Linked DNA regions of Drosophila melanogaster. The protein of the gene in region 3 interacts with the protein of the main gene of each other region in a pairwise test. Each region holds a gene or a part of one and is shown on either strand. Other genes may lie near its edges.

Region 1 (5,856 bases), on a different chromosome or scaffold from region 3:
CACATATTCATTTATATATGCATTTGAGTTGCTCATTGAATGGCAATTGATTTTTGTTATACACATTGTTGGTACAAATGTGATTTTTATTGATTTTTAATTTTCAGCTTGGGTGTTTTATGACTGTTGCCGGCGACTGTTTTATTAAGGCTTGCCCAATCAAGTTATTTACCCCACCCCTCGTGAAATTGAAATTTGCTTTTGATTTGATTTTTTAGGCTGAATACGAATCGCTGCATACAAATTGAGTGCGCTTAAAATGCAACAAGCAATGCAAATTAATAGTACTAATTTGAATTTCAAATGTGTTAGGTGAGATGGGGAAACCCAGATTTCTTCGAGTGCATCCAGAAAAAATTGAGAGCACATTAAAATACCTTTTGTCTAAAATAAAACTAATTAAAATATTTTTAAAGAATAACCTATAAGATTTTATTTATTTATTTGCCTAGAACCTTACATTTAATATCAATGATACTTATAAGAAGCAGTTCAATTCTCAGAATTAAAAACTCCTTTAGTCCCATTTCTAAGTAAGAACTATAAAATTAAGAGAATTAGACCTTGTTATGGTTTCCGGAATTTGCCACTCAGCCTTATGTAAATATAATTGAAAACCTAGTGGAGCATTATCAGCAATATTTATGACCCATATGTGAGCTAGCCAAACAGCGCAGATAACCGAAGCGAAATTATGGCCCAACAAAAAGTTTTCCAGCTGTAAAAGAGTTTGTTTCAAAAGAAAAGATTCGTGGTTTATGCTTCTAAAAATTGTTTTTTCTTGTATATTTCTCAGTTTTATACGAATGTGTTGCATGTAGTTTAAGTTATTTTTGTTTGATATTCCGTGGCTTCTTGTGTAGATCGTATTGTGGTTTGCGTACATCAAGGAGTAAATAGCAAATCTAGTTTATATTTATAGAATTTACACACAGTACATAATTATATGAAATATTCATTTTTATTTTTCGTAATTATTATTATTTTTTTTTAATTTTTTATCTCTGATTGGTTGGTATTACAAATATTCATTACACTTACTTTAAATATAAGTTGACTTAAAGAACATTATTTCAATTGTTGGTTTGTTGTATGCTTGCAGATAATCGTAATAATAGTTAATAGAACTTAAAGCGAAGTTAAACTAAAACAATGTTTGAACATCTCAGCAATGGGTTCTTCATTAACAAAATTGGAAGTTGTAGAATGTGTTCTGGCTAAGACTTAAAAAACTTTGGTTGAACTTTGAGAACAAATAAGAGTGAGTGAACTTCGTGTTGGCTGCACTTCTTTTTACCTAACAATGTAGACATTTACGATGATAGAAGAGAGTGATCCTGCTATTTTTGCGGCTACTACTGTTCTTTAGGTGGTTGATTATTTTCTGTTTGCGAAACTTAAGTGTAACTAGCGCTCTTTAAACTACAGTTTAGTATCACAGAATAGCGCAAAAGCCAGAGATGTGTCAGCCTTTGCAATCGTTTTGTGCTTTTATCTTTTTTGTTTTCCATGAAAGTATCTCAAACAGGGTTTGGAAATGGTTTCATTCTATATCTCTGGTTGTCTCTTCAACGTAATCCCCTTTTTTTTGGTATTTAACTCTTGTGGAAGTCACTTTACTGATGAGCCGCTCCCATCCTCTGGCCGTACATGGCGTATGGCGAGTAGTAGGGTCCCAGAGCAGCTGCCGCAGCCGCCGCGGCAGGATTGAATGCTCCAGCGGCGCCGAAGGGCGAAGGTCCTCCAGCCAAGGCGCCTGGTGGTGGCTTGGCGTATGGATGATACCTCGCCGCTGCCGCAGCCGCTGACATGGGACTCAGTGGTGGTGTTGGATAGCCAGCTCGGAGAGCCGATGGCGGAAATAGGGTTCCCAGCAGGGATTGAGCCTGCGATTGGGCCAAGGCCGCCGCAGCAGCCGCCGGATCGGAGAGATTGCCCGTATGGGTGCGCAGGTGGGAGAAGAGCTCGTCGGAGGTCTGGAATCGCTTGCCGCAGTAGGCATCGCCCACCACCCAACTGCACACGTAGGGTGCCGAACGGGCTGCCGCCGCGTTTGCCGCAGCAGCGGCCGCTGCCTGCGAGTATGGATGAGCTGGTGGCAGTCCGGCGGCACTGGCCATGGCCAGGCCGTATTTCTGATGCTCGCACTGGGTGCATCCGGCGGGGCAGGGGGCACCCATGAGCATTTGTTGCGTGTGCGCCGAGTAGGGACATCCCTGGCAATACGGATCCTTGCAGACTGGCACTATAGCCTCGCCGCCAGCTGGTGTCTTGATGCGCTGATAACTTATGTACGGATTGGGCTGTCCGGCTGGTCCACCGCCGGGAGCTCCGCCTGGATATCCTCCATTGGCGGCAACTGCCAACATGGCGGCGTGATGGTGTGAGAATCCTCCGGCAAACGGTGGCCGGAAAGCGGGATTGGCGTGCTGCTCCATTCCGGGCGGGCAGCACAGGGCGGACAGGGGATTCAGCCCATAGGGTCCGGCGGCCTTGTAAGCCGCTGCTGCTGCTGCTGCCGCCGCAGCCATGCTGCTCATTTCCTTGGGATGCTGGGCGGTTCCGTTGGCATTGTTCAGCACCTCCATGCCGGAGCGCACAATGGGACTGGCGCCGCGTTGCGACGATCCCGACGGGGAGACAGTCTTTCGGCTGGATGAGGAATCGTGCGCGGAAATCTCCGCCTTGCCGCCATCTGTGGGCGTGGCATTTGATTTGCTGCGCGATGGCACACGCTCCTGGGCGGATGAGGAGTTCTTAGAGCTGGGACGCGTGGGTTCCGCATCCAGCGAAGAGCTGCTCTTGAAGGAGTTCTGGTTCTGGTGGCTCAGCACATTGGTCTCGTAGGGCTTGAAGGCCAGTTTGATTTCACCGGTGCTGGTATTACTCAGACTTGCGCTGGTTGCCGTCGAGCTGATTGGAGTGCTCGACTTGGGCGATTTGGCCTGGCCGGAGGGTGACTTGGCTGCCGAGATCTCAGCACTGCCCGAGGAACTCGACGAGTTCGACGACGAGGAGCATGCTCCGGGCTTTGTCTTGTTCTTGTCCATTGCCAGCAGGGGTTTCACTGCCGACGAATCCGCTCCAATTTGGGAGCAAGTCTGTGCGAGCAGAGCCAAGGGACTCTTTTTGGCGTCCATCTGTTATGAATAAAATGAAAATGTGGAGTTGGAATTAGGTTTTTTGTAATTTTAAAGTTTTTTACGAGTTTTAAGATAATATTGATTTTAATTTGGTGAGAAGTTAAAACTATGAGAAAATGCAATTTCTTCCAAAGAAAGTTTGTTCGTGAAAGTATTAATGACGATATAAATTTTTAGATTTGAAAAATTGTTTGATGTTATGAACTTTCCAAATTTAATTCTTAAGTACGCAAAATTTAAAACCATAGATTTTACGGCCATCCCAAAATTTTACAGCTTTTAACTTAGTCAATACTAACCGTCGTTGGCAATGGGGCCAGATAATCCGGTTGAAGGTACTGGTTGTTACCGATGGTAACAACGCCGCCGCCTCCTTCCAAGACAACCATATCAGTTGCTTAGTGTGTTTTCTCGAGGGTAATCCACGTGAGTTGCGAGACAAGGCTACAAATGCGTAGCTTTGCTTCGGCGACGATGAGGTTAATCCACAGAAATGCGTCGGCAAACGTTGGTAAATCCAAAGAAAATCGGCGATTTAACACACTTGTAGTTTTGAGCAGAGAATTTATCTCTGTAGCACTATTTCAATTTGCTGGCCAAGCGATTTGTGTTTTGGCTCTGATTTCACTTTTTCACTCGAAACGAAACACTCTCGATCAGTGACCACAGTTGACTGAGGTTTCTTATTTTTGTTGGTTATATCTCTTGTCACTCGAATGGTTTTCAGGTTTTTCCGAACACGTCTGAACGCTGCGAAGTCAAAATTCGAATTGAATTCAACGACTGCGGCAGCGAGCGTAACTGCCCTCGCAGCGAAGCGTTCGCTCACTCGCGAGAGAGCGCTCTCCGGCGAGCAGCGCTGCACACTTTGGCTTGCTGCCTGCGTTAGAGGAGCACCGCCTGCTGCATGCGAGCGAGATGCACTGTGCGTAATTTTCAAATATGGCGTACTTTTTGTCCAATCACAATCGCATGCGCCTTGCAATGGAAGCCAAGACAGGTTTTCTCTCTCTCGCTCTCCGATTTGGCTTCCTGTAAAATCATAATAATATGGCTGCACCACGGCAACACTCGTCCAGAGAGCAACAGTTGAGCGCTGAGAGCGCCGCTCAGTGAGTTGTTGTTGTTGTGGCTGCTTTGGGGGGCACATTAATTTTATCTTGGCACATATGTCACGCTCACTCTCCCTCTCTGTGTCTCTCTGGGGGAACTTTTTCTTGATGGGGCTGTCAGCAGCAGCAGCGCTGCAGTGGTGGCGGCAGCGGCGCGGCAGAGGCCTCATTGTCTTCGCACCGAGATTTGTTGCTCGGAAAAGCAAACCACTCAACACTTAAACACACTCTTCAACCATTTCCATCGCCTCGCTTCGCTCGTTTTAATGTCATATAAAAATTAATTTGTTTGTCGCTCTCCCGCTCTGGCACTTCACCTCTCTCCCTCTGACCCGCTCACTCGCACAGCTGTTGTTGTGGCCTTTGTTTAGCGTTTTTCGATTAACTTCTGCGGTTGGTTTTCCCTCTTTTTTTTCGTGGCTCCTGTTTTGCTGTTTAAGTGGAAATCGTTGTTTTGTTGTCGCGTCGAAAAGTTTTTCCAAGCAATTTTTCCTCCTTCCTTGGTGTGTGTGTAATTAATCTGCACATATCAAACAAGCGAATGTGTGTTGTGGCATGTTGCACTCAGAGAGTTGGTAATAGTTTAATGGTTTGGTTAACTCCGCTGCATTTTTAATCGCTCTACAATTGGATTGAATTTTCCAGTTAGCACTTGCCTAACTTACTTATTTACGTTTCGCACGAAATCGCGTTAATCACGTTGCTTGGTTTCAAGATAATTACTGAATACTAATAATGTTTAATTGCAAAACGAGGCTGATTTATATTAAATTATTAAGAGCTAATAATAGGCTAGCTCCTTCTAAACATAATTGATTACTATTATTTAAGTAGTTAGAAAATATTATGTGACTAATCATTTAGATTTTGTTGATCTAGATCATTCTAGCCACTTTACCTAACCGATATTAAAACTCCAACGTAATCCCAACCAAATCGGTTGGACTAACCATAAACTATGTATCAAGATGTTTAACTCAAGCCCCGAGGGGATTTTGGAATATCTGGCCCTTGGGATATGTTACCTAATCACCAAGCTGAGTTTTAAGAACCCTTCAAAGCCCCTGGCAAGTAAATTAAAATCTGTATAAATATGGACGATAAGCCGAAAACCCAGAAGCGACACTTTTAATCCCGATTTAGAGTGTTTAGACATTTTTCTGTGGGAATCCCTAAGCCGAAACCCGGCAGCGAAATACCTTCGAGGCTAAAACAGGTAGAGGAAACACTCTCGGCCTTCGGCGAAATGATGGATTTATTAGTTAAGAGCGTGCTGCGATACTTTACGATACGGCTTAGACATAATTTGCGGTTTTGCGTGCAACAAAGCGAAAAAAGTGTTGCCAAAATAATGTATATACGTGTATATATGCATGTATACTGCTGCAGAGTTGGAGAGTTTACGCACACGTTCCATAGCATTTTCTCTTATTATTTGTTATTTTTTATGGCCACTTTGTCAGCGTCATAAATTCGCTGCTCCTGTATGTGAATTATTTACTAGCAAATTGCGGGAGTGGGCTGAAGGTAAATTCAAACCAGTGGCCGGGGGTGTCATATAAATAATACAAAAATATTATAAATTACACGAAGCCGAAGAA
Region 2 (4,312 bases), on a different chromosome or scaffold from region 3:
TTACTATTGCGTGGATGGACATGGTCTGGTTCTGGATTGTTCGGCGGGTCTTTGGTACGACCCCACGGTTCAGGAGTGTCGTGAACCCCAGAATGTGGGCATGTAACATGGTTGATCTGAATAAAAATTGTTTTTGTGACAAAAGTACTAAAGATGTTTCGATTTTTAAATGATTAAGCTAATTCGTTGAAAATTTATTTAATATTTATTTATTACTTAGTCCACTTCAACTAAAGTTTTATGTCCGAATAGTATGATTTTAAAATAAAGTGGTTATTTGAATATGTATTCAAATAGCTTTTTAACGTAAATTTCCCTTGCAACAAGTTCAATCAATCAATTGGTAGGTTTAAGATGATTGTAAAAAATAAGTGGATGCCTTATTTAAGACCCATTAACATAATCTGTCAAGCTTTTCTTTTCATAGTACGAGTATTATAAAGGCATTCGTTTGTTTGAAATCGTATTGGATCTTTATTTCGAGTAACTAGAAGCCCACGAGGTGTGGTTCACGGCACTCCTCGCGCTTGGCATCGAACACCAGGCCGGGTGTGCAGTCCAAGGTGACTCCACGTCCATTCAGGCAGTAGTAGTACGCATCCTGACGCTTCTGGTGGGCAATAAAGTGGGCGCCCTCCGATGGACACTCAATGTCGGCGAGACGTGGCGGAGCTCGGGCAAAGGGCAGGATATTCCGTTGAAGGCTCTCCACCTGAATGAAATGAATAGGTTTTTATGTGGCTCCCAGAAAACTTCAGATAAAAAAAAACACGCACCGTGCAGTTGACTTTCGAGGGGAAATCGCAGCTCTGAGTGCTTGGATTGTACTGCAGGCCACTTGTGCAGTTCTGGACTTGAGGAAGACCATCCATGCAAATGTAGTACTTGTCACAGCGAGCCTTGCTGGGTATGAAAACGATGTCATCCGGATTATTATTCCGGCTGCACAGATTGTCCACGCAGTCGACATACTGCGGATAGTCACAGCGATCGGTCAGGGCGTTGTACTGCAGTCCATCGGAGCACTGACGGATCACCGGAGTGCCGTCGAAGCAGAGAACGTACTTGGTGCACGTGCGATCGTAACAGAACGATGACAAACCACGGTTCTTACAGGATCCAATACACTCGACCTCCATCAGGGGAACACACTCCTGATCCCTCGCATCGAAGTAGTAGTCCGTGGGGCATTCACGGGGTACAGCTATCTCATCTGGGATAGAAACATGATAATGCGGTGAACTAGATATCCACAGGTGCTGGTGACTTACTCATGCACAGGAAGTACTTGCTACAGTTGCCCACCTGGGGAACAAAGAGATTGTTGACCACATTGGAGCAGACATTGACATCGCCATCAGCAGCGCTACAGCTTCCAAGCAGGGCAACCAGTGCCAAAAGGGTCAGGCGACTTATCACTTTGGAAAATAAACCAAGTTAGATCATTTCGGTTCCATAGCTGCAATTCATACTCACTATTCAAGGTTGGTTTCCTGCGGTTACTATCGTCTTACCTCGAAAAACCCCTCCATTTATAGGCAAACTCACTTGCCATTCAATCTGCGATTTGTTTTGATTCCGTGCAAATTTCCAATCTTATCGGATGTGGATGCATGTTTCCATGTGGTAATTGGATTGTTCTTCCTCATTCAAATTCGTCTGGCGGAGATAAGTTCGGTGAACAAGAGCCAATATTCAGGAACATACACCTCTGTCAGCCATTAGGAAACACGTGTATTGATGAGTCACAGTTGATCATCGAACCACGGATCGCTCAAGATCCGATGTAATTGTTACAAGTGTTTGGAATATTTGGATAGGAAGCCCCATTACTTTGAAGATCTAGAAATTATTAAGTTGTAGTTTAGGTTTAAGATTTTCTTCAAGATATATGTATGTATATTTGTTGTACAGGAAGGAAATGCTCCTAGTTAATCCAAATAGAATGTATTATTCTATAAAATTATTTTTTATTTTATTTATTTTTCTTTTCATATCTTAATCGCTAGCGCAGTAATACTTTGAATGTTTAAACCACTCGTGCACTAAAGTGATAAAAAAAAAAACCACACGTGCAAGGAAATTAAAACACTTTTCATCGATATCCACGGGTTCTGGGAACCAGTCTATTTAAAACATTTCGACTATGACTATTATCGCCAAGTTTGGTGGTGACAAATTGAAAGTCGAAATGTTTGCAGAAATAATGGCGTAGTTTTCCTCTAGAGGAGTCGTGTGCCGAAATAACCTGGTTGATAAGTGTAAATTGGCAAAAACTCATTAGGCGATGAAAGAGAGTCGATATAAAATGAATATTTCCTGGCCTGATAGCAAACAGTTGTGGCACACAGTTCAAACTATCCAGGAGTAAGTTGCTCATGCGATGGGATTCCCTATAGTTCATTTACCTAATAAATCGTAATTTCCCAAGTGAAGTGGCTATTAAATGGGCTCCTACTACTATTCATCATTTTGATGGTTCATCGGAACCGGGCCGATGAAGATCTTGTAGTAGCTCCCGGTCCAGACGACGATGGTGAGGGCCTAAATGTTCAGGATAAGGATATTTACGATATGTACGAAAACACCCAGATAAATGTCTGCGGCAATGTGGCGGATGGCGTTTATTTGCCCTATGTTGGAAATTGCTCCAAATATATCGAGTGTGAAAGTGAGTTATATACACTAAAACATCACATAAGTTTTTAAAGCAAATGAAAAATATTTTTAATACATTAAACTATCCATGTATTTAAGACAATACTATTAAGGAAGTAGGCAGCTGCTTGGATTTGGCAAAGGATAATCCAGATATTTGCGATCCGAACAAGTCGTGTGAGCTGGGCTACGATCCTGTTCTCCAAGTGTGCACCTACATGGAGGAGGTACAGTGTCTGCCCACCTGTGAGTCGTTCCGATTGAGCAGCTTCTGCTACGACAACACCTGTACCAAGTACGTGCTTTGCTATTACGGCAAACCCGTGCTACGCCAATGCCACGATGGACTCCAGTACAACAACGCCACGGATCGCTGTGACTTCCCCGAGTATGTGGACTGTGTGGCCAACGACTGTTCCGCCACCTTCCAGCCAGAGGACATCATCTACCTGGGTAGTAAGGCATCATGCAGCAAGTATTACGTCTGTTCCAATGGTCATCCGTGGGAACAGCAGTGTGCTCCTGGCTTGGCCTACAATCCCAGCTGCAAGTGCTGCGACTTTGCCAAGAATGTTAACTGCACGGTGAGTAGAAAAAGTGAAAGTGGATTTTTTTCATTTCAAATATATATTTTTAAATTGATTGTTTTGGATTGGTTTAAAGTACATTTTATACTGCTTCTGGAGTAATTTAATAATTTATTTATTTATACCTAAATATCTCTAGATTGATGCTGTAGCCAGGAATATTCTGCCATATTCCCGAACCCCTCTGCGTCGTGCTGACATTAAGTGTCCCCTTATGGGAACTCACTTCTTCCCACACAAATCTCGCCGAGATGCATATTATTACTGCGTCGAAGGACGTGGAGTCACACTAGACTGCACTCCGGGTCTTTACTACGATCCCAAAGTGGAGGATTGCCGCAGACCTGAATTCGTTGGTGTCTAACTGAGTTTTCATAAATAAATAATTACAACCTGTTGCTTTTGATTTTCGATTTTATGAAATGATAAGAGATTTTGTGAATGTAAGAAGTGATACAAATTGTTTATTCTGAAATGTTTTTTAAAAGAGCACATAACATTTTTAGTGTCGTTATTTTAAAGATTTATTAAAGGGACCAATCATTTGGTGTAAGACTCTCTTATCATCCCAAGAAAGTTCCACTAGTAAGAAATGGAAAAAAATAAATTCAATTAATTTACCAATAAAATGTTTGCTACAAAACGTTACAATTTGAATTGGATGGCCCGTTCACAATGGTGTTTTGTAAACGGCGCATGTGCTGTGCAGCCACAGTGTTTATTTTCCAAAAAAGAGAGAAAGAGTGCTCCACAGAGCACCCCATTCATGCTCTTCTGGTTGCAAACGCCAACCACCCGCTCGCCCACCGAGTGGCACGGCCACATATACAGAAAGCAAAAACAAAACGCTGTCTGTTGGCAAAAAGGAAAAAGAGGAAAACCATCCGTGGGGGCGGTGGGAAGTGAAAGAGCGCTCTGCGAAACTCATGAAAGTGAAAACGAGCGCGACGCTGGCCCAGCTGCATTCACACATTCAGTTGGCTGCGAGTCCTTGCGCCGTTCGAATCGCAGGCGAATCACCCATCGTCCAACACACAACCTCACAACCACCCACCACCCACCGCCCA
Region 3 (7,211 bases):
ACATATTCTATGTGAAGGCGCTCACCAACGGACGATTTAGCCATGAGCGACTGAAGGTTTACCGGGTGCCCGAGTTCTACGCCATCAGTGTTTTTAGCAACGGTGATAAATGAGCAGAGACACCGGTTGTTGGCGATAAAAAAGGAGTAAAATAAGTTATTTTTAAGATGCTATAAATAAATACCTCAGGCGTGCCCAAGTGGAGTGTTTCATTCCGCTTTTTTTTTTTTTTTGTTGCTCTGAACTGAACTCTCTTATCGCGGCGCCACTTCGCGTTCGCGGATTTACACGCAATTTCAATTACTCATAAGCCGGGCTCAGGCGGGCTGACTGATGGGTGTCAGCATGGTCTTGGCCATCAGCCCCAACATTGGTATCAGCATTGGCAGCGACACGAGTTCGGTTGGGCCGATGCTGCTCGTTCCGTCGGAGCCACGTCAAGTGGCAATTAATAACTGTCAGTCGATTGGCGGCTGTGGCTACAGCTCCACCACCTTCTCCACCGCACACAATCCACATCCGACAACAAAGAACTAATCCCTTTTGTCACTGGGCGTCACAGACCGCGGGCCAAAGCATTACGTCAAAATCAAAGAAGGCAACAAAAGCTTGGCAAAAAAATAAATGCGAATGGAAAGGCTTTCTATGTAAAAAACCGAATTTAGGATACGCTTAGGGCGAAGGTATTTTGCTGGATAATGGACTTTGTTAGGGGATTACCAAAGAAAAATTGGAGCAAATAAAGAGTCAGAACGCAGATTATTTGATGTCCTAAAACGTACAGGGATTGACAACTAAATTGCCAACAAAAATTTAATCACAAATAATACCAAAACCTTTCAATGCCCTATTTGCCCTCTCAAGAAAAGTTTGTGAGCAAAATAACTTATTACAAATAAGCAAATAAATCACATTCCACTAACAGCTCTTGAACCCGTGCAGACTTTCGCCCAAAATACGCTTGTGGCACGTTCGCGTCTTTAAAAATGCTCGGCAGGTATTCGCTCCAGTTCCGGGAATAATAGAAAATGCCACACAAAGCACATAATTGAGTTGTCACAATTATGGTAATTTAATAATTAACTGCTAGCATTTAGCTTAGGGCTATTATGTGGTCCGGTTGCGGATACCGATCTGATTAGGTGACCATCAGGCGCGGCGCAATGTTCATTGACATCAGCTCCTGGAAGAGAAGCTTGGCCGCATATGGGAGTCGCACCTGGGAAATCTGCGTCTTGTTCTTGCAGCCCTTGCACTCGAACGTATTGTTGCGCAGATTGGCGATGGCAATCAGGCCACAGAAGTTGCAGATGTGTACGCGGTACGGATCGGAGACCTCGAATAAACGTTCTCGCAGGAACTGAGCGGCGCCGTGGGAGATCTGGCAATCACGCTCCATCTCACCGAAACGCAAGCCACCATCACGAGCACGACCTTCCATAGGCTGACGCACCAGGATCTGGACGGGGCCTCGAGCACGAGAGTGAATCTTGTCGTCCACCATGTGCTTAAGACGCTGATAGTAGGTGGGCCCCAGGAAGACCTGTAGTTAAGGGACTGATTAGTTTAAGATTATTGCAAGTTGAAAGTTAAGCAATTTACCTGAGCATTAATCTTTCGTCCAGTGTGGCCATTGTACATGACCTCATTGCCTCGAAGATGATAGCCGTACTCCTGAAGGAAGGTGGAGATCTTTTGCACGTTGACGGCATCGTTGAAGGGTGTAGCATCACCGATCTCTCCCTTGTTGGATCCCAGTTTTCCCTGCAGACACTCGATCAAGTGACCAATTGTCATACGAGATGGGATAGCGTGGGGGTTAATAATGATATCGGGTGCCAATCCCTCGCATGTGAAGGCCATGTCCTCCTGACGGTACTGGATGCCGCACGTTCCCTTTTGTCCGTGACGAGAAGCGAACTTATCGCCGATCTGCGGAATACGCACCGAGCGCACTCGAATCTTGCAGAACTTGTAGCCCTCGCTGTTGAGCGTAAGCATCACCTGGTCCACAATACCCGTCTCAGAGTTTCGCAGGAAAGTGGAGGCATCTCGTTTGGAGAAACGCTTCGTGTTGCTGTCCAGTTCGTCGTCGTTTTCAGGAAGGGTAATGGTCTTGCCAATAACCACATCGTCGCCAGATACACGAATTCCTGGGGCAATAATTCCATCATCGTCTAACTTGTCGTAGTGAGCATTTCTCATTCCTTGGCAGGTGCCGCGATGAGGCTTCTCGAAGTTCTCTTCCTGATCACCGACACGTTTGTTCTCCGAATCCTTGTATGATCGGTAGAACACAGAGCGGAAGAATCCACGCTCCACAGCGGATGCATTCAGAATGACAGAATCCTCCTGGTTGTAGCCAGTGTAGCAGAGAATAGCCACGATTGAATTGATGCCAGCTGGTAGTTCTCGGAAACGCAGGTACTCCATGGAACGTGTGGTCACAAGTGGCTTCATCGGATAGTAAAGTACGTGGGCTAGTGTGTCCATACGCACGTGGAAGTTGGTAATATAAACGCCCATAGCTTGCTTACCTATAAAAGATGAAAAAAACGTTATAAATGGATTAGTATTTCAAGTAGAACAGTAATGAATACTCATAAACTTACCCATAGCGCTTTGATAGGTGTTACGCGGACTCTGATTGTGATCGGGGAAGGGAATAATGGACGCGCACACGCCCAGGATCATGGCTGGATGGATCTCACAATGTGTGTATGTGGTACAATAAGCATAATCCTTGTCCTGCTTCAGATCGTAGGGAGACATAGCGATCATGACCGTTTCCTCCTCAAGGGTATCAATGTACTCCACCACTCCAGAGGCTACAAGGACCTGCCAACTGTAGTTGTTGTAGTCTCGCTCCTTTAACATCTCCACGTGAGTCTTTTTAAGCAGCAGCGATCCGTTTTCCACGATGAGAAGTGGCCGACAAATGCGACCAGCATCTGTATAGATTCGGATCTCACGATCTCGAATGTCTCGAATCATAGACACCTCTGACACGATGATATCCATCTGGCGACGCAACTTACGAAGCGTTGCCATGAGCTGCTCAGGATCACGATGTATGCCCACCCAGCAGCCGTTCACAAAGATCTTTGTAGCATCAGCGATGGCAGAAGGAGCAATTTCCTCCAGGTTTTCCATAGACCACTCCTCCAAGAACTCCAGAATGGGAGAAGGTTGTGATCCCACAGAAATGTAAGCCATGAGCGCCAGGTTCTTCACCAGACCAACAGCTGCTCCCTCAGGAGTTTCAGCGGGACACAACATACCCCAAAGAGTATTGTGCAACTGACGAGGTTTGGCCAGTTTACCGTCTCTGCCAATTGGCGAATTCACACGCCGCAAATGGGAAAGAGTAGAGGCGAAGGTCAAGCGATTCAACACCTGGGAGACACCGGCTCTCGCCTGATGCGCCTTCTTCTGGTCGCCCCAATTGCCAGTGGCCAAGGAATACCTTAAACCATCAGTAATAATATTAGTCTTGATGGCCAGTTCAAGGTTGAAGTCCTTTCCGCGATCGATGAACTTCTGTGTGTACATGCGCACCTCTTTCATCAGGTTTTTGAACAGACCACGGAAGAGGAAGGCCAGGAGGGGTCCAGCGAGATCAAGTCGCTTGTTTCCATAGTGATCTCGATCATCGAGTTCTCTCCTGCCCAAAGAGGCTAAGAGCAGCCGGTGAACCATGTAGCCCAAAAAGTATGCCTTCTTGGTCTCGCAGAAATCGGATACTCCAACGTGGGGCAGCATTTCCTTTTGCAAAATTTCCTTAGCGTACTTTATACGCTTGTCTTTTGTGACTCCGGGACGTGCTCCTCTAGCTCCAATGAAATTCAAGGCAACATTCTGCTCTTGGACTACAAAAGCCTCGTCCAGAGAAGGTTTCACCATTTCCATCATCTCGGGATCGTCGAAGTCATAGATGATATGCTCCAGAATATCGCGATCGGCCACGAAGCCCAATGCTCGAAACACAATCATAATGGGTATCTCCTGTTTGATGTACGGTAAGATGGCAATAATCCTCTGACCAATGGCTGACTTTTTTATGTTTTGCGATCCTCTTGCCATCATGTTTACCCACAGTGTAGACGTGGGTCTGGAACTGTGCTCCAAACACGACCGAATCTCAGTCTTAAAGGCATACTTGCCATCTTTCATGCTGAACACGTACACTGTGTTGGTGGCCATTTTCTCTTGGGCAATTAGCACCTTCTCGGAGCCGTTGATGATGAAGTAGCCACCGGGATCCAACGGGCACTCGTTCAGCTCCGTAAGATCACGATCAGTAAGCTGTGATAGCAAACAGTACGTTGATCTCAACATGATGGGAATCTTGCCTATGAAAGTCTTTTGATGCTGCGTTTCCACGGGATCCAGGCCCTCGACATTCTTGGTTTTCGTAATGTCCACGTAGAGAGGAGCGGAGTAAGTTAGATTTCGCAGGCGGGCCTCGTTCGGCATCATAGGACTGGGCGAACCATCCTTTTCCCAATGTGTTGGCTTGGAAAGATAGATTTGCTCGAATTTCAGCGAGAATCTGGGCGGGGTTTCCACCTCTCCGGATGTGTGCTGCGCTTCCGCCTGCAACTCAATGGCGGGGGAATCCTCCACAATGCGCTGCACCGACATCTGAATGAACTCATCGAAACTGTCCAGCTGCTGCCGCACCAAGCCCTTCTCGTCGAAGTACGCGTTAATCACGATCCAGCAGGCTTCCTGCCACAGCTCGTGAGAGATCTCCTCGGCATTCTCCTCCTCGTACAGTTCTGCAAGATGTTATTTGACCATTGAAATTCATTGCTAACAATGCGGAGCCCTAGCGCTCCAGCCGCCATATTAATTTTGGTACACGCCAACGTGCATGCACAAATTTTCGCAATTCATTTTACTCACCTTCCTCGTTGTCGTACATCATGATTTCAGTTTTCTAAAGTGCAGAAGCACTTTATGCGTTCAAGTAAATAACAATAAATTGGATTTGCAATGAATTAAATTGTAAAAACGTAGAAAATTTCACAACAAATGTTTGCCGACAACGCGATTAGCGGCGTTGTGCTGTGTTGGTAAACGGCAAAAGCAAAGCACAAGGTGCAGTTCATAAAGTTATAGCAAATACTTGTAAACACAATAAAATTGTTTTTGGCAACAAAATAAATTTAAAAGTGTGAATGATATAAGAAAAAAATATATGAACAACTAAATGAGTATGTAACTTAAATTATTATAATAATATAATTTTATTAATAACAAACGCATTTAAATTAAAAACAATTAAACCGAGAGTTTGCCAACACCAATGACACGCACACTTTCCAACACTAACAGACCGGCAAACAGCTGAGATTGTTGTACTCGTTTTACTTGGTTATTTAACACGCTTAAAAAATGAATTTTCTGTGGAAAGGACGCCGGTTTCTGATCGCAGGCATCCTGCCAACATTCGAAGGCGCCGCAGATGAAATAGTCGATAAGGAAAACAAAACATACAAGGCCTTTCTGGCCAGTAAACCACCAGAGGAAACAGGACTGGAGCGCCTCAAGCAAATGTTTACAATCGAGTAGGAAAACTAAGAATTCCATTTATACTAAAATCTACTGACCGTACATAAACATTTAAATAGCGAGTTTGGCAGCATATCCTCCGAGCTTAACTCGGTTTACCAGGCCGGCTTCCTAGGATTCCTTATTGGAGCTATTTACGGCGGAGTTACACAATCGCGCGTGGCCTACATGAATTTCATGGAGAACAACCAGGCCACAGCATTTAAATCGCACTTTGATGCCAAGGTAGGTATCTACGTATTATCATTTAAATATGTTATAATCAAGTTTTTAATCATAATTACAGAAAAAGCTGCAAGATCAATTCACAGTCAACTTTGCCAAAGGCGGCTTCAAATGGGGCTGGCGAGTGGGACTTTTTACCACATCCTACTTGTAAGTTCAGCAACACGAATTCAAATCTGTATCTGTGTGATACAAAAATGTGTTCCTTACAGCGGCATCATCACTTGTATGTCGGTGTACCGTGGAAAATCCTCAATCTACGAATACTTGGCCGCTGGTTCCATCACCGGCTCGCTTTACAAAGTGAGTCTTGGTCTGCGGGGCATGGCGGCAGGTGGAATCATTGGAGGTTTCTTGGGCGGCGTGGCTGGTGTGACGTCGCTGCTGCTGATGAAAGCATCAGGGACCTCGATGGAAGAGGTTCGCTACTGGCAGTACAAATGGCGACTCGATCGCGACGAAAACATTCAACAGGCGTTCAAAAAACTGACAGAGGACGAAAACCCAGAGCTTTTCAAGGCCCACGACGAGAAAACATCCGAACATGTATCGCTGGACACGATCAAGTGAGTCCTGAGGACTTAAAGAAGACGCCAGTGTGAACTTAGTTACTTTTTTTAATTTAAATAAATTGCATATATGTCCATCTAAAGTTACATAGACAAGAATACATTTAAGGAAGCCCACTTTGGCGGCTGCTATGCGATGTTTCAGTTGATGCCTAGTGCCTCTAAAGATATCGACTGACGTACGGACACATATAGACACGGGATAGACACAACACAAAAGAAATAAACGATTGGATACAATAAATTAAATGCTCTGCTAGGAAACAGTACGTAGAAGGGCGATAAACAGAATTGACTCGGTGGGATCGGGATTCAGACTTAGTCCTCTGCGGTGGGACGCGTGAGGCGCTTGGCGCCTCGGTTTGGTGGCCCCTTGGGCTTGGCAAAAGCCGGTCGGTGTAGAATCTTCTTTGGGTGCAGCTCGTCCTGCAAGAAGGCTTCGGTCAGCTCGCTGCCGCTGTCGATTTCAAGCTGAAATGTAAAACGTTGTTAGAAACATGAATCAGATTTAGTATGATTTAAAATTACTCATTATTTATGATTTACAGATTTCTATTTCAAGTGAAAAGTGAGACATTCGCCCTAATTATGATTCAAAATATTTCTAGAGATCGTGAATCAAAAGTATAGTGAATGTGGCGATTTGAAAGCAATAAATAAATCACAAACAATATATACCCTGCTTTTGCTTTTTATAGCCCTAATCTTTAGTGCTATTAGCGCAGCCACACCCACTCGCATTCATATCAACTCACCTTCTTAACAACCTCCACGCCAAGGGCCGCGAGCTCGTCGAGAAAAGGAGCCTTACAGCTTGAGTACATCATGCGCTCGCGCACG

The links.
Region 1: the proteins of Polr2B (region 3) and noc interact in a two-hybrid assay, tested with the Drosophila melanogaster proteins (one large-scale study listed by BioGRID).
Region 2: the proteins of Polr2B (region 3) and CG10154 interact in a two-hybrid assay, tested with the Drosophila melanogaster proteins (one large-scale study listed by BioGRID).

The regions. Positions count from the first base shown.
Region 1 is NT_033779.5:14,488,922-14,494,777, reverse strand, and holds noc (no ocelli), read right to left. Parts: upstream 3,920-5,856; 5' UTR 3,533-3,919; coding exon 3,443-3,532; intron 3,141-3,442; coding exon 1,617-3,140; 3' UTR 759-1,616; downstream 1-758. UniProt on the Drosophila melanogaster protein: May negatively regulate Notch-induced cell proliferation in the eye-head primordium. Required for development of the supraesophageal ganglion and ocelli.
Region 2 is NT_037436.4:13,435,151-13,439,462, reverse strand, and holds CG10154 (uncharacterized protein), read left to right. Parts: upstream 1-2,326; 5' UTR 2,327-2,366; coding exon 2,367-2,367; intron 2,368-2,431; coding exon 2,432-2,671; intron 2,672-2,757; coding exon 2,758-3,242; intron 3,243-3,384; coding exon 3,385-3,609; 3' UTR 3,610-3,783; downstream 3,784-4,312. Other genes in the region: CG10140 (uncharacterized protein), read left to right, coding at 1-106; CG10725 (uncharacterized protein), read right to left, coding at 488-712, 777-1,213, 1,272-1,418, 1,477-1,477.
Region 3 is NT_033777.3:14,123,666-14,130,876, reverse strand, and holds Polr2B (RNA polymerase II subunit B), read right to left. Parts: upstream 5,087-7,211; 5' UTR 4,931-5,086; coding exon 4,909-4,930; intron 4,782-4,908; coding exon 2,613-4,781; intron 2,538-2,612; coding exon 1,603-2,537; intron 1,544-1,602; coding exon 1,139-1,543; 3' UTR 766-1,138; downstream 1-765. Other genes in the region: CG14356 (uncharacterized protein), read left to right, coding at 1-113; 140up (upstream of RpII140), read left to right, coding at 5,401-5,573, 5,637-5,802, 5,864-5,952, 6,015-6,372; twf (twinfilin), read right to left, coding at 6,690-6,842, 7,127-7,211. UniProt on the Drosophila melanogaster protein: DNA-dependent RNA polymerase catalyzes the transcription of DNA into RNA using the four ribonucleoside triphosphates as substrates. Second largest component of RNA polymerase II which synthesizes mRNA precursors and many functional non-coding RNAs.